Linked DNA regions of Tamandua tetradactyla. The protein of the gene in region 3 purifies or fractionates together with the protein of the main gene of each other region. This does not show direct contact. Links are inferred from orthologs where the notes say so. Each region holds a gene or a part of one and is shown on either strand. Other genes may lie near its edges.

Region 1 (7,917 bases), on a different chromosome or scaffold from region 3:
ATACAAAAACATAAGAGGGGAAAACTCTCAAAAGACATACCCCCAAATGGTAAGAATAGTTATATTCAGACAGTAGGATTATGAGCAACTTATTTCCTTTTCCTTTCTTTATATTTATTCTTATATTTTCTACTATGGACATGTTTTATATTATGTAATAGGGCAAAAAGATCAACAGTATAACATATATCCTTCTCTGGGTCCTTCACTGCTTACCATATATTCCCAAGTTTTTTGCCATGCATTCCAAGTCTTCTAAGACCTCCGCCCAACTTACTTCTTTAGTATTAAGGAGCACATGTGTTTCTAATTTATACCTTGTGATTTAGCAAAAGTGACCAGTGGTAATTCATGTCAATTGACTTTTTACCCCAACTCTCCTAAATCCTCTGAAATGCAAATGTCAGGAGGATAATATAACCTACTTCAAATGGCAACATTAAATAACAGAAGATAAAACAAGTGAAGTGCCTAGCACAATGTATTACTTGCTTTCATTTTGTTTGTAAGGGACATGTGGCTCAAACTTGCTGTAGAAATAAATCTATTTTTTACCCAGTATTCTCACTGGAACAAAGACAGAGAATGTTAACAAGGAGCAGCTTCAGAACTCAACATCACAACTCCTCAGTCTCCACTGAGAAATAAACTCATCTTTTCCCCCAAACTTGTCTGTCCTTTTACATTCCCTATTACATTACTATCCAACAAAGACATCTTGAGAGACAGCTAAAAAACAAAGATAATCAAGTAGCATTTATTGAGCACATATTATGTTCTAATCACTGTTCAAGGATACTTTATGTGCATCGTCTTACATAGTTTGCAAAATACAGGGATAAGGTAGGTACTATTATTATGTTTTTACAGATGGGGAAGACTAAGAAGTAACTCATTGGTGGTCATATCTATAGTAAAGAGTAGAAATGGGATTCAAACTCAGGTCTGTCTGACCCAGTGCACTTGTTTTTATGCTCTTAGCTATACCCACCATACCAAAGTTCCCTTTCCCACCTACCTCCCAAATTCCACAACCTCCTGCTTAGTCATGGGTTCCTCCCCTAGATGTCCCAAAAGACGGACTGTGTGGCACACTGTAAATTTGTACTGTTCAGTTTGTCTTTTCTCATTTGAGAAAACAAGGACTATTTTGTTTATGTTTCCCTGCACCCAGCAAAATTCCTGGCACATCAGAGTCCCTCAAAATATATTAGGTTTTTTGCACACCGATATTCAAGGTGGCATTATTCACAATTGCCAAAATATGGAAGCAATCCAAGTGTCCATCAATTGATGAATGAATAAATAAAATGCGGTATATTATATATAATGGAACATTATCCAGCAGTAAAAAGGAATGAAGTCCTGATACATGTGACAACATGGATGAACCTTGAAGACATCATGTTGAGTGAAATAAGCCAGATACAAAAAGACAAATATTGTATGATCTCACTGTTTTGAAACAATTAGAATAAGCAAAGTCATAGAGTCAGAATCTAGAATATAGGTTACCAGGGATGGGTGGGGATAGGGAATAGGAAGTTAAGGCTTAAAATGTACAGGGTTCCTACTTGAAATGATGGAAATGTTTTGGTAATGGATGGTGGTGATGGTAGCAGAACATTGTGAATGCAATTAACAGCAATGAAATACATATCCTAATGTGATTAAAAGGGGAAACGTTAGATTGCACATATGTTACCAGTAAAAATTTAAAACAAAAATCCATGGAATTACACTACACAGTGAACCCTGAGTTAAACTATGGACTTTAATAGTATAATTATTAAAACCTGCTATTATCCATTGTAATATATGTTCCACACCAGTGCAAGGTGTCCACGGTGGGGTGGTGTATGGGAATTCTTTATTTCATGCCAACTTTTCTGTAAACCCATAATTTCTCTCATTAAAAAAAAAGTATTTCATTCCTTCTTCCCTTTCTCTTTTCCCCTCCCCCAAATCCCACAGCACTTTACACCTCTCTTCAGACATTGGTCTTCTGTCTCATATAACTTTTGCATGTTTTATTTTCCTTGCCAGGCTATGAGTTCTTGGATGGCAGGAGCAGTTATAAAAATCTTTATACAGACATCTTTGCCTGTTGTACACCGTCAACAAATAACTAATGAATGAACTTGTACTTAAAATAGCCAAGTTTAAATTGCAACCTTATGCCTTTGATTAATTCATTCTATAGTGTGCACGTTGTTGTTTGTTTTCATTTCTACTGTGAATGTTTCTTCTCATACTGATTAAACACTAGTTCCACTATTATCAAACTACAGTTCCTAGTTACAGAAGGCTCTCTGGCTAATTTATCAAACATTTCCCAATGTTAGGTACTGGGAGAAATGCAAATTCCTATCAGAAAGGGTTTCTGGTCTATCAGGAAATTCAATCTAGTAAAGACTCCAGAATCAAAATAGTATTGAACACTAAACTGTTCGAATATGTGTCACGTGGCTCTGCAGAGTGACGGCGACTGTCAACGTGGTTCCAGGGTCACAAAACAGACTACGAAAGCAGCCCGTTAACTAAGCTCCTGCGATTCGTTATGACTGCCTTGCCCGACCATACCCTGTTTGGGGGTGCAAAGGAGAGGTGGGGCAATTCCTTGACGACCTATCTTCCCTCAGATCTGTACATCCTCCCAGGCCCTACAAACCAGGGCTTTCCCTTACTCCGGTTTTACCTACCATCCCAGACAATGTCGAGCTTTCACCAAGCCACCCGCCCACTCTCTCCTCCGGAGCTCACCTAGCTTCTCCAAGGACCCTCCCCTCTTTGAGTGGCCATGAGGATTGGAGCAAAGGCCTGTACAAGCAACAGACCCCTCCCTTTCGCGCACTGACTCCGGGCTCTGCGGGAGATACTCTTCTTGGCATTCCCGGATTCTCACCTGCTCAGCGGACACCGCCCCCTTCCCGGCGCCGGTCCCGCAGCTCTTGCCGGAACGACCGCTGTTGTCCGCCATCTTCGCCGCCTGCCGGTTTCCGGCCTGCGCAGTTCAGCCTCCGTCTGACGCCACATCCGGTCTCGATGTTACCGCCCACTCGTCCCTGGCTTCTCTAGCTCTTGGCGGCTCTTCGGTTCGGCTCTTGCGAATGGTTTTGGCCGTATCTTCATGTAGGACCTACTCCCCATCCTGCCGGCCGCGGTGAATTCCACCTGCGGTGCTTTAACTTGTGTAACAGAGACGCTGTCCCCTGGCAGAGGCGGGAAAGGAGTGGCTGTCTGGAGGCTGGGAGCGCGGATTGGGATACGGGTTCTTGTGCCCTCTGCCCCCGTGGGGTGGCCGAGGACAGGGGAGGGTGAATTTTCCCCTAGATTGTCCCGGTGTAAGGGGGGCAAATATACTTTAAGCCAATAAAGCTGTGCAGATGCAGAATCAAGAAGAGAGGCCTGGGAAAACCAAGAAAGTTTCCCGGAGGTGACTTTTGAACTGTGGAGACGTTTAGCACGGGAAAAGGGTTCAATTTAATGTTAGATCACTGGAAGACTGGAAGTCGAGATATTCAGGCACTGAACAGCTTTCCGTCCTCTATCTTCCCACCTTATGATCTCTTCCTGTAGCCCATAATTACTTAAAGTGTGTTTTGGAGACTTATTTTTACTGGCAGGACCCTGATCCACCTCGCAGTATGAAGAGAAGTTAGAAAACTCTAGGAAGTTATTGCTTGAGGGTGGGGTTGGTGTCCTGATTTCTCACCTTTCTCAGGTTGGGCTTCATCATCAGGCCTAACCAGCTCCTGTCCCTTCTTCTGTGTCCTGGACTCCGGATACCTCGACTCTCAGTACTTTGTACCCAGCCCAGGTAACAAGTTTTGTTGTGTTCTGATTGTCTAACATATTGAAAAATGCTTGTTATATGAATGGTTGGTGGGAGACAGTGGTGTGCCAGCCATCCACAGAACATTTGCTTGGCAAGCCCCACTAGGCCTAAGTCAGTGTATCCTCTAAGAGCAGATTCAAAAGGAAATTAGGGTGGGCCACGGTGGCTCAGCAGGCACAGTTCTTGCTTGCCATGCTGGAGACTCGGGTTCGATTCCTGGTGCCTGCCCATACATTAAAAAAAAAGGAAATTAGCTTTCCTGACTCCCCATTTGAGTCCCTTATCCTTAAACTAGGGTTTCCTCATACTGAGAAATTTGATAATCCTGCCTGTGTCATTCACAGGCCCAGAGCCATGGCCATCTCCTCTTCCTCCTGGGAACTGCCTCTGGTGGCTGTGTGTCAGGTAACATCAACACCAGACAAGCAACAGAACTTTAAAATGTGTGCTGAGCTGGTTCGAGAGGCTGCCAGACTGGGTGCTTGCCTGGCTTTCCTGCCTGAGGCATTTGACTTCATTGCACGGGACCCTGCAGAGACACTACGCCTGTCTGAGCCACTGGGTGGGAACCTTGTGGGAGAATATACCCAGCTTGCCAGGTATCAGGGAAAGGGGGAGGGAGAGGTAAAATCATTGGGCAGTGTTCCTGGTTTAGGTTAAGAGGATAGAGCCTTGAGAGAGTTTTCAATGTCCCCCTCTCTCCAGGGAATGTGGACTCTGGCTGTCCTTGGGTGGTTTTCATGAGCGTGGCCAAGACTGGGAGCAGACTCAGAAAATCTACAATTGTCATGTGCTTCTGAACAACAAGGGTGAGACTTTACAACTGTTTAGCCTACCTTTCCCAGGCTCGTCTTCCTAAACTCAAGTCCCTAGAATTGTGTGTCTCAACAGTGCTTCCTTGGCCTAGGGTTTTAGAGGTGTTTGTACTTCTGTTTCTAGTCTATAAGTCATCTCCTCTTGGGAGGGGAGGAGCTAAACTGGGCTCCTAGCACATCAGCACTGAGTATCCTTCTCCCTCTTACTCTAGGGTCAGTGGTAGCCACTTACAGAAAGACACATCTGTGTGATGTAGAGATTCCAGGGCAGGGGCCCATGCATGAGAGTAACTCTACCACACCTGGACCCAGCCTTGAGTCACCTATCAGTACACCAGCAGGCAAGGTGGGAGTTGTGAAAGGATGAGGGTGGGAGAGGCACAAGAGGGAGGGGAATAGAAATATTTTGAAGTGGGTGGTAGTAGAGGATATAAAGCTCTAAGGAAAGGGGCAAGGCAAGGGGGCTTAAGCAGGTTACTTTCTATTACAGATTGGTCTAGCTATCTGCTATGACCTGCGGTTCCCTGAACTCTCCCTGGCATTGGCTCAGGCTGGAGCAGAAATACTTACCTACCCTTCAGCTTTTGGATCTGTTACAGGCCCAGCCCACTGGGAGGTAAGAGGACACCTCTTTGAAACTTAAGGGCCTTTCCTTAACCTTCTCTTCCCCTTCCTACTTGGTAGGAAGTCATTTCCTAGATTGTTGCCTGGCTCTCATGTGTTACAAAATAGTAAACATAGTAAACCATTCCTTGGCAATAATCAGAATGGTAACAGTGGGTACATCATACACTTGGTCTGTAACATCCATCTCCTGTCACTTCTTCATTAGCAACTGCATGTAGTTAAGTAAACACACATCTCCTCATCCTCCAGGTGCTGCTGCGAGCCCGTGCCATTGAAACCCAGTGCTATGTAGTGGCAGCAGCACAATGTGGGCGCCACCATGAGACAAGATCAAGTTATGGCCACAGCATGGTGGTGGATCCCTGGGGAACAGTGGTGGCACGCTGCTCTGAGGGGCCAGGTCTCTGTCTTGCCCGAATTGACCTCAACTATCTGCGACAGTTACGCCAACACCTGCCTGTCTTCCAGCACCGCAGGCCTGACCTCTATGGCAATCTGGGTCACCCATCATCTTAAGCCTTTTGACTTTTGTGAGTTGAGACTCCCATTATGAGCTGGTAGTGCCATGACTTTTGAGCAGGACCCAGGTGCAGCTCCCCTCACTCGGAGAACCTTGACTCTTGATGGGACACAGGCTCAGCTTCTTGGGAAAGAAGAAACTTTCACCTGAGCTCAGATTTCAGTTTCAGAAAGGTGGAATTTTATATAGCCACTGTTTATTTCATGAAAACTGGAGTAACTCTGAGGGCTGAGCAGCACTGGCATTGAGAAAAATATAATAATCATAAAGTCTGTGTTTGGATATCTCCTTTGGAAATTGCAAAGGGAGGTGGTATTGCATCTGCTGGTCTAGGCTCCAGTTCTAGGTTTCCTGGCTCATTCAGCATGCCTCCCTATGTAAATAAAAGTGCAACACTCAGTGCATGTCCCAGCCCCATTCTCCCAAGGGGTTAGAGAATGGGGAAGAAAAAAGAAAAGAGTTGATACTGAATTACTTCACTTGGTGATGCCCTTTGCCCAAGCCAGAAGAAAGCAAAGGGGAAAAGGGCTGCAGGGTACATTATTTATTTTTACTTGAACATGGGAGGAAAATGTCACACTCCCCCTTCCCCTTTTTAGGGGGAGTGTACCTTTTCGACTCAGCAACGTCTTCTCCACCTATCCTGTGTATGTATGTGTGAACACACACACACACTACAGTTGGAAGAGTGACTAGGCTGACCCAGTTCTCTCTTACCTATTACTCTCTTAAAGAGGATTTTCTAAACGGGGAAAAAATGAGCCACACCAGGCAAAGTTTTCAAGCCATGAATGGAGGAAAGGAGGCAGAGAGGAGCAGCACCAGATGCCAGGAGAGACTGGAAAGGGCCACAGCTTCTTTGTTTTATAAAAATTCTGTAATTTGGGAGAGGATGGTGATTAATTTCCAAATACACTTGAGACCCACCTTCCACATAGCTCCCTTACTCACAGCCCTTTGGTTTTGCAGACAAAATTTAAGAGCCCTCATAAAGCCAGAAGTATTGATAACCCCTCATTGCACCCAAAAGCAGTGTTCACGTCAATCTCTTATGAAGACTCTGTTCTATAGACTTTTCTTTTCCCTACACATTTGTCTTACGGCTCAGTGGTAAGGTAGCTGTAGAGACACAAATTAGGGGTATTTGGAAAAGGGAAACAAAGGGGAAGCCCAAGCACACGGGTGCAGGGAGGGGTGGGGACACCACTTCCACTTTCCTTTGTCTTTACCTTAAAAAAAAAAAAAAAAAAGGCAGGGGGTGTGATTGGAAGGGTAAAGAACAAACCCCAGAACAGTATGTAAGCTCCAGAGGTGGATGGGAACAGTCCCCACAGAGGTGAGATGGGGAAAGGTCAGGGCAATGCTTGCAGCATCAAGTTCCTCAGGAGTTTCTGTCGGCCCAGCTCATAGTCCTCCTCATCCACATTCACCAGAAGCTTGATGGCTTCGTGGCCCACAGCCTGCTTGAGGGAGTCTGTGATGAAGACACCTTTAAGTGCCTCTAGTAACGAGCCATTGATATAGTCGCGCCAGAATGCGTCGAGGTAGGTGAGCTCAGAGAACTTGATGTCACAGATGATGGAGCCCAGGTCCCGGGACTTGAGGATGGTATTGGCCTGGTTAAAGCGCTCAAACTGGCGCTCAAGTGGGTCCTGCTTGTTAGAGAAGACATTGCCCTGCAGAGCAGTCTCATGCTGGCAGTATTCAGCCCGAACTCGGAGTCTGATGTCTGAGGAAGAGAAGTTACAGGGAAAAAGAGATTTCAATCCAAGTTTGAAATGTTGAACAGCAAAGTAGCAAAATGGTCTATCATCTGCCAGCTTCTCTACCTCTTCCCCAGGATTTCTTCTGAAATCCTTGCCTGAATGTAGGCGGTTCCCTTACATGGGACATGCCTAGTCAGCATTATTCCCTCATTGACATGAAGCACCTTCCAGCCCCTGCCTAATGGGGGATATTTTATAACTTAACAAGCACAAGTTATTTTAATACTCTATCATGACTTTCTTCATCCTCCAATCAAGATCCGTTTAATCAAGTATTAACTAAAAAGAGTTGAAATATACTCTGCCACAAAGATAGAGGGAATATTACTTGCAGATATGATGCCATTCAAC
Region 2 (7,388 bases), on a different chromosome or scaffold from region 3:
CCAACACTGTGCCCAAATGACATTTATTAGCATTAAACACAAGGCCCTTATCTTCCCCACACCAAAAAGCCACTCCTACGAAGTCCAGGCCCCTGAAGCAGGGTGCCCTCTAACCCCATTTCTGCAACAAGCTCAGGCCTTGGCAGTAGCCTGTGTTGCTCCCAGGGCTGTGAGCTGCTGAATCTTTTGGCTCATCATCTCCATGACAGCTGGGGAAGAAAAAGGAAGATTCAGACACTGGCCAGTGCTAAAGGAAGGAGAGGACCTAGAGTTAAGAAAAGCAAAGGGAGACAACCAGCTACAGTTTGTTAATACAATTTTTAACCAGTGATAGGGGGACAGACACACTAGGTACAAACTTATAGCCTACAATGTGTCAATGTGCTAAAATGAACAAATTATGGTATTAAATGAGCCAAACTTAACTGCAAGATATAACGTGGAAAAGATTTTTGCGTTTAGAACAGGGGTTCTCAATCCTGGTTGTGTAACTGGGGTGCTTTTAAAAAACACTGATGCCTAAGGAACAAGGTCCCAGAGATTGATTTAGTTGGTGTGGAGCAGGCCCAGGTGATTCTAACATGCAGCTAAGGTAGCAATCACTAGTACTTACTTAGTGCTATGTTTCTTTCCTGTATACTCATTTACATTATCTTATCCCCTACTCCATCTCCATTAAATAAGACCTCTGTAAGAGCGGACATGATTTCCATCCTAGGCACCCAACCCAGAAATCTACAGATAGTACACAAAAGCTAGAGAATAACACACCAAAACACCAAAGGAAGAGAAATAAAGATATGGCTTTAACCCAGTCAAGATTAAACCCTATGGGTTCACACTGCAATCCATGTTCTTAATCATGGAGGTAGAAAGGGACAAAACATGGCCTACGTCAAGCTTACCTTGCTTCATAGCATGCTTCTCCTGCAGAGCTGGCTGGATTTTCTCCATCTGCTTGGTGAGGAAGTCTATCTTCCTCTTGAAGAAGTCTTTTGCATCCTCAGCTGTCTGCACAGGTCAGAGGTAAATGAGAGGTAAGAGGAGACACCATATATCACAGCTTAGATCTTCTCCTAAGCTCCCTTTTCTTGCTCACAAGGGCACCCATTTGCTTCTAGAAACTCACCTTCTCTACATAGTAGCCAGTTCCCACATCGATGAGCACATGTTCCACATCATGTAGCTTACCAGGGACGTACATCTGAGAAGCAAGGATTAAGGGAAAAACTATCCCAGTATGAACCACAATTCCAGTAAGTCAGTCTGCTTGGCCTTTGAAGGCACACCTTCTCTAGAAAGCTTCAAGGCAAAGGGACTGAATATAACCTTTTCTGAATAATCAGAAGCCCTTAGAACTATACTTAAAAACTCCAATGGGGAGAGGCAGAGAAAAAGTGGTTCCTTGTGGAGAGAATGTCACATGCTAGCACACTCTCTTGCCCTGACCCCATCTCCCACCCTACAAGCAATTCTCAAATTCTTCCCATTAGCTCTTCCAGAAAGATTAGATACAATGATGTTTTCCTACTTTTCTAGAGTAGTAAAGGTGAAAACCCAGACTCACTTCCCCTTAATACCTCCAACCCTGTACTACCTAGTTCCTAATGAATTTAATGATTATTTAACCTTTCCCTACTGTACTGCTATTCCTTTGTTTCTCTTTTAGCCTGTCAGTTCTCAGACTACCTATTGCCATAAATTGTTCATACAACAAAAACACTTAATAGGTGGACACAATCCAGGCTTCTCAGAGATGGCAATTTAGGAAAAAAAGCCACAATTAAGCTGAAATTGAAGATTAAGAAACAAAGCCAATAGTGGCAGAATTCTTGCCTGCCATGTTGGAGACCTGGGTTCAATTCCTGGTGCCTCTCCATGCGGAAAAAAAAAAAAAGAAAAAGAAAAAGGAACAGAGCCAACCACTGTTTCTATACCCTATTCTTCTACTGCTATGTCGTCTATCCAGATTATTAGCAAAAGTGTAAACTACCAGTTTTGTCCCTATATTAGATTAATATCCTCAAACAGCAAAGGAAAATAATGCAGCTCAACTTTACACACCCCTTGGTAATTTACAAGGCAGTAGCTGGATGGTAGGCAGCCCCAGATTAAAAAAGAGAGCTGGAAGTTTTCAGAATCATGAATGAAAGGGACTCGGAAGTAATCAAAATTACCTCCTCTTTGTGGAGGGGGAAGGGGTGAATGGGAGAGGTCAGGGCAGCAGTTCCTGTGGAAAGGATACAGAACTGGTCAATGGGACAAGTAATTCTTTCCCTGTGAAAGGAATTAAGACAAACACCTGGGGAAGGTTGGCAGCGCCAACATTAAAACGTTACAGGGAACTCCAACATAGTACAGCACCCAGTATGAAAAGGACGAAACAGGGGCAACAGAAACAGAGGAAAGTTCTGTACATTTCAACTCTAGGTATGGAACATGCAAAGGGCTCTTACAATACGCAATGGATTGTTTTCGCGCCTCGGGTAAGGAAAACTGGATGAAGCGGCGGGAAGAGAGGGGAAACTGGCTAACCACACTCCCTATGTTGCGTGTGGCCCTCGCACGCCTACTTCATACCCTCGTTGCTCTTGTTCAGCACGTTCAGACAGTCCTTGGCTTCCACATACTTGGTCTGTACCACCTTGAGCTGGGCAATGGACGTGGACAGGAACTCCACTTCCTGCAGAGAACAGGAAAGATGGTCAACGGGTTGGAGCGTCAGGGGAGTCTGGCCGAAGAGGGGACAGGACCGGGGATGCGGTGGCGGTTTCGCCTTGGAAGGGAGGTTTCCCAAACAGGGGAGGAATGGCGGCGAGGAGTCCGCCTGGGCAGGGGAGCTGTGAGGCGGGAAAAGGGTGTTTCAGGGGTCCGTCGCCACCTGGTCCAGCTGATTCTTGAGCATTTCTAGCTGCGGCAGGCTCAACTCCGTGATGTTAACTGACTGCGCCATATTGAGAAGGAGGGCTAATGAAAGGGAAGTCGGCTCGGCGCTTTACGCTCTAGCCATCCTCTGCGCATCTCGATGGTAGCGCCAGGAGGCCTCGCTGCGCCGGATATCTCTATGTTCCTCCGTCCCAGGAAGGAGGGGCTGGAAATTCCCGAGATTCGCCTTTGATTCGAGAAGGTAAGAGCGCATCCCTTTCACAAAGCATCCCAAGCATAGCACAGTAAAGTTGTAGCAAGCAAGATTTCTGCCGTCTGTCCTCAAGGAACTTAAAAATCTTAAAGATAAGACAAGTACCCGGGACATTACCACAAGCAGCGTAAGCTGCTCCATGTGAGTGGTAAAAATCCACGTGAGTGGCAACTGAGAGGCCAGGAGGAAGCCTGTGAAGTTCTGTGGGAGGGGGCATAGCACTGTGAAAACGGTCCTTTGGTCAAATGAAGATGAAGAGTGTCCAGAGGTGGAGAGAACAGTAAGAAGGTACCATTACAACTAACAAGTTCAGCACAAAATGTATTTACCATATACTAGATGTGAGGAATACACTAGCGTAAGATATAATTTGTACTTCACAGGAGCTTACAATCTAGTTGAGAAGACAAATGAATAAATAAATAAATAAAATACACAGGGAGCAGAATCCCACAGAATTTGCTGCTTAAGTCCATGGCACTGACAAGTGTGTAGCAGCTGTACGTGAAAGAGGAACAGCAGCCACTGACATCTACTTGGAAGGGGGGCAAGATAACAGAGGCACCAAGCTAGTGTCACACCCAGGATACCTGAGGAGAAAGACAAGACAGACGTGATGGCACTTGGCCAAGTTGCTCACAATGGGTCCCTACTTTTCCCTGGGCCTCTGTTCCCACTAAGAGCATTTTATTACCCCTCTCTCCTTCAGCTTTGTCTGCTGAGACCCAGCCAGGCCCAGCTCTGTCCTGTGGTTTTGCCTTTTATCCCCAGTGCTCTCAGATTTGAACTCCTGAAAGCTGTTCCCATGCACTTACAGTACCATATGGTGGGGGCCGGGGGGGATTAGTGGGGAGGAAGCAGGAAGTCCACAAATGTTATCAAATGAGCTACACAAACAGTATTTAGGTGACATATCTTTATTAAGGTTAAGTTAAAAGGAAATATTTCATATAAAACACTGAAATCACTTAAAAATATTTATTCTAAGGATAAAATCTAAGTTGGGGGGTAACAGAGTCACTTGGCTTCTACCAGATATACAATAGCTCCAAGGGGTCACCGCAGGGAGACAGGTAAGCCATAGGCCACGGGAGCAGCTCCAATAAGATACTTAAGACGGGGAGCCTGGCGGGCCTGGTTGACATAGTAGAGGAGGGGGGCCCCTGGGCCTGCTCCAAGCCAGCCTTGCAGCAGAGCCTCTGTATAGCGGTCAATGTCACGGTCAGTCACATCCCAGAGGTTACCCAGAAACAAAGGACTGGGAAGAGAGAAGGAAGAAATACAAAATAATAAGGGATCTCAAACAAATACACAGTAAACATTGCTGGGAGGTGGGAGGAGGAGAGGATCCAGCCAAGGAGGGACTCCCTCGTCCCACAGTGCCAAGAGGAGGTTAGAAGAGGCAAAGCATTAAAGGGCTCAACCAGGCATGCCAGGAAACTAGGATGGGAGGAAAGTGAGTCACAAGAGAGATTCAGAGTTCAGATTTCGGAAAGAACTTGGGGTTAGGAGCAGGAGCTTTAATGCTTTAGGATGCACCTGACCCAAGACTCACCAGCCGGCCATGATGTACTTGAGTACGATGCCAGCTCCCTCCAGGTTTCCATGCACAGCCAGGGCTGCACTGCTGCAGCCAAACAGCAGGGCCACTGCCCGGCAGCTCAGCCGCAGGACAGCCTGTCCATCTAGGAAGCGGGCACCAGCCCCATGGCCTGCATAGCTAGGGCAGAAACAGGTGAGGTCAGCCTCAAACTAGCAGTAGCAGGTCTCTGTCCATGTCTCCAGAAATATCCTGAGTCAGCCAGAGGCTTTAAAGCTCCAAAGCAGACCATGATGTTCCATCCTCTGAGACTACCCCTTTCCCCGCTCCCTGGTGTAAGCACTCACATGTATAAGTCATGCTCAGTCAGGGCCGCCTGCACCTGTTCCGGGCTTGGGACCTCCCCCACCACCCCTCTCCAGCCGGCTTCACTGTGGGGAGAAGGTAGGAGTGAGAATAGGGAACTGCATGGCAGGGGTCATGTGGCAAAGAGGGGAGAGGGAACATTAGGTAGAAGGTGGAGACAAGGACATGTTGCCCCTACAAGTTGTTTCTACCCTTCCCCACCCGTCTTCTTGCCCTCACCCCTGCCCCTTCCCTGACCTGCTAAAATTGGCTCGAAATTGCTGTTCTGTGCTTGACAGGTTATTGTGAGGGTTCAGGACGTAGAACGTGTTGCGTGGATCCACCCCTTGGCTGAGCACGGATGAGGCCCCAGACTGAAGAGTAGATAATGTTGATCAGGACCCTGGTCTGACCAGGAGGCCCAAGCTCCAACAGCCCCTCTCCACATCCAACCCACTCCTAAGACCCTCTCCCATCTCTCCAGGTCTCTGCCTCTCTCTTCCTTCAGCTCTCTCGAGTTGAAGGAAGGCCCCCAAGCCCCACCTCTTTGATAACAGAGTAGCTGAGCAGAAAGCGCAAGGAGGGCAGCCGGGTGACAGGCAGTGCCCGGAGGGTGGGCATGCTTTCCCATGGCAGCTTCTGCAGGTCCTACACAAAAGGCAATCAGATGTTACTGTCCTTAACCAGGTATGGACAGGAGGAAAAATAAGTGTGGGAGTAGGTTGGTGCCCACTGCCCATCAGGCACAGCCCTCTGACCCTCCTAGCTCCTTACCTTGTCCAGCACCAAGACAAGGTGCTTCTTGTTTGGCACTGTCTGACCTTGAAGACGTCCTATCGCTTCAATCAGAAGTTCTTGGGCTCGCTTGGGGTGGGCTGGGCACAGCCCATAGGCCAGGGCCTGAATTTCCTGAGGGCTGAGGGTACTGGCACCACTGAGCATGACCTGCAGGGGAACACAGGTTCATGGGTGCCGTAAACCCTAGCCCCAGTCAAAATGGCTATTGGGCTTGTGGAGAAGAATGAAGTTTACTGCTTCTACCCCTTCCCTGCTTTTCTAACTCACTTTTAGCAGGGTAGGGTCAGGATATTTCCAGCCACATTCCTGCAGCAACCCCTGTAAGCAGGAGGCCTCACAGGCAGGGCCAGGGTCCTCACTGGATGGCAGCAACAGCCCTCTCCAGCAGCCCAACACATCCTTCTCTAGGGAAGTGATGAGAACCTGAGTACAGGAGAAGAGAGAGGAAGGAAGACAAGTTTCTTTCTGGAAATGAGGAAATAGGTTTTCCACCATGGATATTTGTTCTATACTTCTTTCTGCCAGTTGAAAAGGCAAGAAGCTAGAAACATTTTTCATTTGGTGGGCCTGTGGGAGGCTACAGATAAGACTGTTTATTATAGACAATCTTTTTTTTTTTTTGACAAATTTGTGAACACGTGAGCCAGGAGAGCTGCTGCCAGGCAGCTGATACTTAGGCTTACAGCCTTCATCTTCTGTGTGTCTTTAAACATTCCATTGCCATAAGTTCTTCAAGTTCTGGCCTCTTGATTAAAGTCATGCAATTTTTAAATTCATGCTTTATACTTTCAGAAAGGACTCACAGTAGCTCAGCACTGACTTGGGACCCCTGGCAGAGAAGACATTAGCATCCCCTGGGTCATTCCTAGGGCAGGTGTGACCTCAGCTTGTCCTAGGAACACAAACCTCCATCCTGTGGTCCAGTTCCAGCCGCCCTGTCCACCATTCTCGCTTGTCAGTACAGCTGCTGTTCTCTTTCTGTGCCTTCTGGATGGCATCAAACTCATTCAGGGCTGAACTCAAAGGAAGCTTTGGGACATGGGGTTGTAAGATCTCTGCTGGTCACATAAATGCCATCTCTCCATCCCCCAGCCACAGAATGTGAGCAGCTTAACCAGAAGCCCCCCACAGCCCTACTTTGCACCCTGGTCCTGGAAACCTACCTTGTTTTGGGCAGTGGGGATCTGCACAGTGACTGGAGAATTATCTTTTTCCAGCCGGGTCAGCAGGAGGGTGTTCCCCACAGTTCCAGGCTGGAGGGTGGCCAAGGCCAGCACACAGACAATCACCCCTGACACGGAGAACATACTCAGAAACATTTCAGCTGTTACTAGGCATTCCCTTTCCTATTTTCTGCATTTAATCCCAATCCATCACTCAAGACAACTCAAAATAAATCTTCAAGAAGCCATCCCTGGTTATTTGGGTTCAGGTACTCTCTCCCTTGCCCTAACTGCTCACTGTGACCAGGGACCATGTCTTGTACTTCTTAGAGTCTCTCACGGCTGCTAACAAAAAGGGCCATGCACAGTGAGATACTCAAATAATCTGTAATACATTTCACTT
Region 3 (7,516 bases):
CTTCCTCTTTTTAGTTGTATTTACAAATAGGGAGAGAAAGATGACCTTGCTTGCTTTATACATTTCCCCATGTGGCTTTAGTATTAAATATGAGAATTACCAACAATCAAACATCTTGCCTATTGTGCTGAACAGACTGCAAGCCACAAAAGCCTCCTTGCATACTAAGTAATCCAAAAAGACAAAACAATCTTTGTAACAGGAATAATTAAGCAAAAAGAAAAGCAGTAAAACACAACAGTCATGGTTTTAATGTATACTAAATGCTGGTCCTTGAAAAAAACCTAATTAATTAGGTAAGGATCAGGAACTCGATGAAAATACACAGAAACCTGAAAAAGATTCTAAAAAAGTCTTCCAGTACTTTAAAGAACTTCTCTTCCTTATAAGTAAATTTGATTACCTTATGGTTTCTGGGCTCTCCACATCATTATTCTTATCCATGCATATTAGCTACAAGGGAATAATTTAGCTGAAATAAGGAATGATGAAAAAAGGAAGAGAAATATAGCCAAGGAGTAAAAATCAAGCTAGAGACAAAAAGAAACTGAAAAGATGAGGCTAAGAGTGAATGGCTGAGCGTGGCATTTAAATTGAGTTGATACCATCTTAGAAGGGTTACCATATGAAATCGAAAAAAATTAAAGTTTTTAGCACATTGTATATGTGATTAGGATAGGAGCTTAGAAACTAGCAAGGAGAATTAACCATAGCAGCATAAGATTTTGCTTACAATACACGGCTGCTTGGTCTGAATCCCAGCATCACCACCTACTAGCTGTACTGACCAAGGGGAAATTATTTAACTTCATTTATAAAATGAATAAAAGTACCTTTTCTTCAAAGAGGATGAGTTTGTATGTTTAAAATGTTTAGAAGAATACATGACACCTAGTAAGTGTGCAATGTACCATGACAACACTAATGAAAGTGACAAAAATTCTGTCTTGGCATAGGGGTGAGGAAAAACTACAGAGAGTAGCATTTGAAATAGACGTTGAAAGACGAAGAGTTTCTCAGATGAACAATGAGAAAGGGACATTTCAAGCAGAGAGAGAAAGAAAACAAATTCTTACACCAGTAGGAGTGGAGAAAGGGCAAGGTCTGACTTCTAACCACTATGGTATACTGCCTCCTATCTTAGAAACTTAACATCTCTTAAGCACTTACTATATTTCCAATACTGAAAGGACATTCCGTTTCTCATAACTCTATAAGTACTGTTATCCCTATTTCAGTTGAGGCTCAAAGCGGCAAAATAATATGCTCAAGGCTAAACAGCAATTGGAGAGTAAAGATTGAAATCTTGGTCTATTTAGAAGCCAGTGTTCTTTCCACAATACCTTGCTATTCCGGTTAGTCTGGGAACATAAAAATGATTATGTAGACTTTGGATTACTTATTTGTCATGTTGGTAGAAATTTTAAAGTCTAGGGGAAAAAAAACCCATAATTTTAGGGAAAAAAGACCATATATAAAGGCCTCAAAGTTATCCTCCTTAATTAGATTTTTGAAGCCATCTCTGACTACCATGAATGTAGTATTGAAAATTTAATTCAACACTAATTAAATCTATTAAAATTTAATTCAACAATAATTTATGAGCTTATACTGTGACAGGCACTGTGCTAGGATCAAGAGAAATAGCAATGAAAAAGAGAACTATGTTGCTTTCCTGCAAGCAGCAAGTATGCTAAGGCTCAAGAGTCTCAGATTACTCAAATTCAGACTCTAACTACCTAACTTTACACCCTGTCACTGTGACCTGGAGCAAGTTACTCAAATGCTCTGTTACTCAGTTTCACCATCTGCAAAATGAGAATCCTAATTTATATTCTAAAATAAAAAGTGGGTCTAAAGGTGGCTAATAAAAGAAATGGGTCTTCTGAAGGATATGAGGCAAAATTAGCAAAAGGTACAGATATGGCGATATAGATACAAGAGGTTTAGAAAACTCTATTAACGCTTTTATAGTGGCCCAGCCAGAAGCAAATGGGGAAAGACAGGTAAAGCTGGCCGGAATGCCCAGTTAGAGGTTTTGTCTCACTATTCAAGTAGTTTTCAAATACTATTCCTGAAGAAACTTTTTGAAGAGCAGGGTGGCTAGCGCCCACTTGCTTCTCTTTGTTTGGACATGGGTTGGTCTTCCACTTGGGTGAGGCCTCCAAATTGGTTTCCCCTGCCTCCTCTCTCAACTCCACACAGGTCGTGGCTTTAACTGAGAAACCTTTTAATGACAGTCCATCGGCTGCTGGAAAAAGTCTCAATTCCTTAGTCGGACACACAAGGACTTGAGCATCTCACCCTACCTTACCTTCCCTTCAGTGTCTTCCTCCATTCCCCAAGAGGCAACCAACCACTGCTTTCCTTCCACAGACTATTTCCTTACCTTCGTACCTAAACACAGCTGTTCTACCCACTGCTTTCGATCCCTTGTATTCTAATTATCCACTTATGTCTCTCCAACCAGTAAGGGGAGCGATGCGCTCGCCGCCGCCGCCGCCGCTCCTTTTCCAGGTTCCCGAAGGCTGCAGGGAACGGACCCGGGGGCTGCGGGGCTGCGGGGCTGCGGGGCGGCGGTCCCTCGGGTCGCGCGACCCCGGGGCCCCGTCCTCACTTCCCCGCGACGTCGGCCCCCGCTCCCCGGCTCACCCGCCCCGCGCTCCCGCATCCCCTTCTCTTCACGGGCCCGCTTCCTCCCGCTGGGCCCCAGCGGAACCCAGCCCGGCCAGCCGACGGGAAGGAGAGTGGGCCAAGCCCTCCCTACACCATTCCCTCCGCGACCTGGTCCAAGGGCCAAGACCAGGGTGGGGGGGGCCAGGAGCCGTGCAGTAGGTCTTGGTCTCCGGCCTGGGCCAAGGAGTCCGGGCCCAGCGTGCCTCTTACCACGAAAACGGCCTCGGGGATTCCCAGGTGGAGTCGCCGCCCGTTCCCTAAGCTCACTTCCCCAAAGCCACAAGAGTCCTTAGCGGCCGCCATCTTGAGGGAACGAGCCGGCAACCCCGCGTCTCCCCAGCCGCCAGCCAGCGGGGACACGTGATTGGCTCGCAATCACCTGCTGGCCCGCCCCTCACTGGTGAGTCTGTGCATTTATTGGCCAGCAGAAAGGGGCCGCCATTTGCCCTGCGAAGATTCGCCCAACCAGGGGGAGCTGCATGGCCTCCAGCAAGTGCGCGAGAAGCATGGGAAGGGCCAACCGAGAAGAAGGCAGGAGCTGTGGGAAGGACCTGTACGGACTCCTGGGAAAAAGGCCCGGAGATTTCGTGTAGGGCCCTAGGAATCAGGGACCAGGCCGGACCCCACTCCTCCCTGGAACAGGCTGCACTATCACCGTCCCACCATTCAGGAGAGAGCTTCTTACCCCTTAAAGGGGACTTACTTACTTTGTATCTGTTTTAAATGCAGCCACTGGCCAGATTGAAATCAATACTACGTCCGTTGCACCACCTTTCTGGAGAGCCACCTTTAATCAGAATCTTGTCCAGCTCAACGTTTTTACAATTTCATAGGCTACTACCAAACCTCGACTTCTAGGCCCGCAGACATTCCCAACATCATGCTCTATAAAACCCTTTGAAAGCAAGAGCTTCATACAGACCCAAGTAGTTATTCTTTTGAGCTCTTTTCTAACATCTACCTACCGTGCTTGTTCTTGCCTTTGTTTTCGCTGGAGCGCTTCCCGTGGGGCCTTTCACCCACTCACCCAAAGCCTACCATAAGCCAGGTCGTCTATGAATAAGAGATAAATGTCAGTTCTGCCAAAGAAAAAATTGCACGGGACCATGTTAAATGAGGAAGGATGACTTTATCCACAGCTGCCATCATAGGGAAGAGAGAGAAAAACTCAATTCCGAGGAGGGCAGGGGGCTGATTTAAGTTTTATAGTCAGGGCGAGGGCAGTGGACAAACTGGTCATCTGTTTGAAGAACGGATGGGGAGGGGAACGTGGAGGGAGGTAGCCTACTTTGGGTCTGAAGTTGTCAACTGGTCTTTTCCTTCCCCCCCACCCCCAGCAGTTTCAGTTTTTTTCTGCAGCCCCTCAGCTTCAAGATTACTGTCAAGGTATTCAGGGCAGGGGAGGAAGCTAGTAAGAGCTAGTGAGGACCGAATCTGGGAGCTTGGGCAAAAGAAAAACAGTCTTGCTCAGTTCTCTTACTTGATGGGGACACACATATGTAATGATAATAATGGCTAATATTACACCCTAACTTTGTGCCCACAGCCCTGTGTGAGAAGGACTGTTATCATTGCCTATTTACAGATAAGTAAACGGCCTTAAAGTGAACATTTTATAAAATAACAGGGAAATGTTTAACAGTAACATACCAGGTACTAAGGGATCACAGGTGAAAAAGACACTACCTAACTCATAATTTTAAATGAAAACCATATTTGCCAAATGATATATATATATATATATATATATATATATATGAATACCTACTAGTGCCAGCCACACAGTGGGGCAACCAAGTGTTTTTACATCCATTACCTCCATTCCATCCATACCTTGTTACATCCTGCCAGTCTGGACCATATGAACAGATAAGTGACCTTGTTAGGGTAGGGTGGCAACAGAATCAGGTAGGGATCAAAGGGCCTCACAAGGCCAAGAAATGAATCTACATGCAATAAAATACTGTATCAGGGTGCTAAGTAACCAAAGCCACCTGGAAAATGAGTCAAAGTAAGAGGGCAGCCCAGGAAAGCCAGTACATCATGCTTCAGATTCCACGAAGGCAGGCCACAGCAGGAACTCTCAGGCTCCTTACAATACAAAGCAACTGGAGTTATTCCCAATTACTGCAGAAAGTTATGGAACTGGCAAGAATCTATTTGGATCCTCTCATAATATGAATGATGAAGCTGAGGGAACAGCTGTGCCTGAAATCCCACAGCAAATCTTGGGTTTGAGCTGGAAGAAGAACCCAAATAATTCAGCTCTAAGTCCACTGTTCTTTATTACCTAAAATAGTTCTATGCACCACATCTGTCCTCATCATCATCCATTTTAAGCAGAATGGGTCTCATAATTCATGATATAGCAAACATATTTCTGAACTAGTCTTATGCTTATTCTGTTTTTCCTGAGCTAGAAGGCCTTCCAAATGTTGTCTACTCTTCCTCATGTCGAATGAAATAAGGCATACATAAAAGGACAGATATTGTATGATCTCATTTATATGAAGTAAATATAATATACAAATTCATAGAGCCAGAAATTAGAATACAGGTTTCCAGCAGCAGGGATGCGGTGCAGAATGGGGAGTTAATACTTAATTGGTACAGAGTTTCTGCTTAGGGAGATAAAAAAATTTTGGTAATGGGTGGTGGTGATGGTAGTACAACATTGTGACTATAATTAATGCCACTGAATTCTGTACTTAAAAGAGGTTAAAATGGGAATTTACTTTTTAATTTTAATAACCCATAGAACTGTACAATACGAAGAGTGAACCCCAATGTGAACTATTTACTTAAGTTAATAATGTAAGCATAATAGTATGGGTACTGCTGAGGGTGCAGGGCTGGAGGACTGGCCAGAGGGCAGTAATAGGTGGGGGTGTTGGGATAGAGTGACTGTCAGCCACTGAGTCAGACAAGTTGCTGCTGCTGGCACAACCAGGAAGCTGAGTTCAAGGGGGTGTCTGTACCAGTTCTGAGCCAAGTAAACACCCCTAGAAACTTCCTTAAGGCTGGGGCAGGACTGAGAAGCAGGTGGCTGTAGGTCTGAGGAGATGGGGTGGTTCTTGAGGAATGGGGGAGGGGGAAGGACTCACCCTCTGACCATTGGTTGTGTGTTCAAACAGGTGTTGACTCCTGTTCTTAGATCGTTCAGACAAATGTCCAATATTCTGCATGTTTAGATCATCTGGCTAGTCACTACTGTGGATGAAGAGCAGTTACAATGCTGCATACTTAAGTTACACTCCATAAAGCAAATGACACACTAGCACCTTACAAAATATTTTTTCTGCTACCACCAATGACTATGGCTCTGTTGTCAAAAAAGACCCTGCTCCTCAGGACTATAAGCAAAAGCACCCTTGACACCCTGTGGCACAGCCAAGTTGTTAATTCAACCATCGCCATGGAGGAGGCCCCTAACCTTGCTGATACTGCTTTGAGGTTCTCTCTCTAAGTATGAGTAGAATAGAGAGGAACCCCCAGAAGTATAGCCTCATTCCCAAACTTTACTAAATCCTGTTTCTGCTGATACTTGCAAATTAACCCATCTTGAATGGAGCCCCCTATAACAAAAGGCTCTAGAATCTACCCAAATTGTAATACAACAGGCATTTTTGTTAGTAGCATCACTGTAGGAGCTTTAGCAACCTCCTCTCATACTTCCTGTAATCTGTGGACCACTGTGCGGGTTTGAAACTGTCATGTACCCCAGAAAAGCCATGATCTTTAATCCTCATTCAATATTGCTGGGCGGGATCTTTTTTACTGTTCCCATGAAGACGTGACCCACCCAATTGTGGGCGGTAAGTTTTGATTAGATGACTTCCATGGAGATGTGTCTCCACCCATTCAAGGTGGAGTTCTTTACTGGAGCCCTTTAAGAGGGCACCATTTTGGAAAAAGCTTTACAGCCCATGCAGCCAGTGACCTTTAGAGATGAAGAAGGAACACATCCCCAAGGAAGTTCATGAAACAAGAAGCCTGGAGAGAAAGTGAACAGATGTCACCATGTGCCTTTACAGCTGAGAGAGAAAACCGGAATATCATCAGTTTCTTGAACCAAGGTATCTTTCCCTGGCTGCCTTAATTTGGGCATTTTCATGGCCCTAGAATGGTAAAATTGCAACTTAATAAATCCCCCATTTTAAAAACCATTCCATCTCTGGCATATTGCATTCTGGCAACTGTAAAGTAAAACAAACACCTGTGATGGCCATAAGTTTCCCTATGTCTTCCAATGCAAGACACTCTAATACACCATTCAAGTGGCAACAGCTGACCACATAGGTAGTTCTCCTGGAAACAGAGTTTCTTAACCCTGTGACGTGTGTTCCCAAATGCCCATTATGCCCTAGGTCATAGAAGCAACACCCCACAAGCTCAGCACAGCAACTAAGGCCTCATTGCCACAGAATGGAGCCAAACCTGTACTGTTTGGCATATCCACCTGTGGGTTGAGGTGGCCTCCCCTGTCCTCAGTCCCTTTCCAGGGGCCATGCTGCTGAAGAAGGTTATCCCTCTCCCAGACCCTTTGGCTACCTGGGGAAACTCCTGGGATCACCTGAGTGAACAACAATGGGAGTTTTATTTTTAATGTTAAACAGGTTTATTTATTCAAAATTCATAGAGCTCAGTGGAGAGCTGTTGCTACTTCATATTCTTTTATTGTTATAATAAAAGAAAAAACTATGATTTTCTATTTTTTGTCTATGATTTTATCTATGATTTTCTTTTTTCCCCCCATTATTTATTTTTATTCCATATGTTCCTCTCATCTGTTGACAAGGTAGATAAAAGGAGCATCAGACTTTATCTATGATTTTCTATT

What was found. The genes of interacting proteins can lie anywhere in the genome.
Region 1: the proteins of VBP1 (region 3) and PFDN2 fractionate together in Homo sapiens (co-fractionation; 8 studies listed by BioGRID and IntAct, counting the BioPlex papers as one, with this or other methods). This does not show direct contact. The link is inferred for Tamandua tetradactyla from reciprocal best matches to the Homo sapiens genes VBP1 and PFDN2.
Region 2: the proteins of VBP1 (region 3) and PFDN5 purify together in Homo sapiens (affinity purification with mass spectrometry; 7 studies listed by BioGRID and IntAct, counting the BioPlex papers as one, with this or other methods). This does not show direct contact. The link is inferred for Tamandua tetradactyla from reciprocal best matches to the Homo sapiens genes VBP1 and PFDN5.

What each region holds. Positions count from the first base shown.
Region 1 is NC_135330.1:14,265,203-14,273,119, forward strand, and holds the start of PFDN2 (prefoldin subunit 2), read right to left. Parts: upstream 3,014-7,917; 5' UTR 2,981-3,013; coding exon 2,906-2,980; intron 1-2,905. Other genes in the region: NIT1 (deaminated glutathione amidase), read left to right, coding at 3,111-3,163, 3,725-3,820, 4,183-4,437, 4,544-4,647, 4,866-4,999, 5,144-5,269, 5,530-5,796; DEDD (death effector domain-containing protein), read right to left, coding at 7,153-7,529. UniProt on the Homo sapiens protein: Binds specifically to cytosolic chaperonin (c-CPN) and transfers target proteins to it. Binds to nascent polypeptide chain and promotes folding in an environment in which there are many competing pathways for nonnative proteins.
Region 2 is NC_135333.1:114,655,977-114,663,364, reverse strand, and holds PFDN5 (prefoldin subunit 5), read right to left. Parts: upstream 3,014-7,388; 5' UTR 2,954-3,013; coding exon 2,882-2,953; intron 2,684-2,881; coding exon 2,581-2,683; intron 2,278-2,580; coding exon 2,246-2,277; intron 1,205-2,245; coding exon 1,130-1,204; intron 1,012-1,129; coding exon 906-1,011; intron 210-905; coding exon 133-209; 3' UTR 7-132; downstream 1-6. Other genes in the region: ESPL1 (separin), read right to left, coding at 4,196-4,397, 4,695-4,859, 5,027-5,110, 5,283-5,398, 5,568-5,672, 5,799-5,969, 6,090-6,245, 6,729-6,851 and 1 more. UniProt on the Homo sapiens protein: Binds specifically to cytosolic chaperonin (c-CPN) and transfers target proteins to it. Binds to nascent polypeptide chain and promotes folding in an environment in which there are many competing pathways for nonnative proteins.
Region 3 is NC_135353.1:904,399-911,914, forward strand, and holds the start of VBP1 (prefoldin subunit 3), read right to left. Parts: upstream 3,019-7,516; 5' UTR 2,980-3,018; coding exon 2,887-2,979; intron 1-2,886. UniProt on the Homo sapiens protein: Binds specifically to cytosolic chaperonin (c-CPN) and transfers target proteins to it. Binds to nascent polypeptide chain and promotes folding in an environment in which there are many competing pathways for nonnative proteins.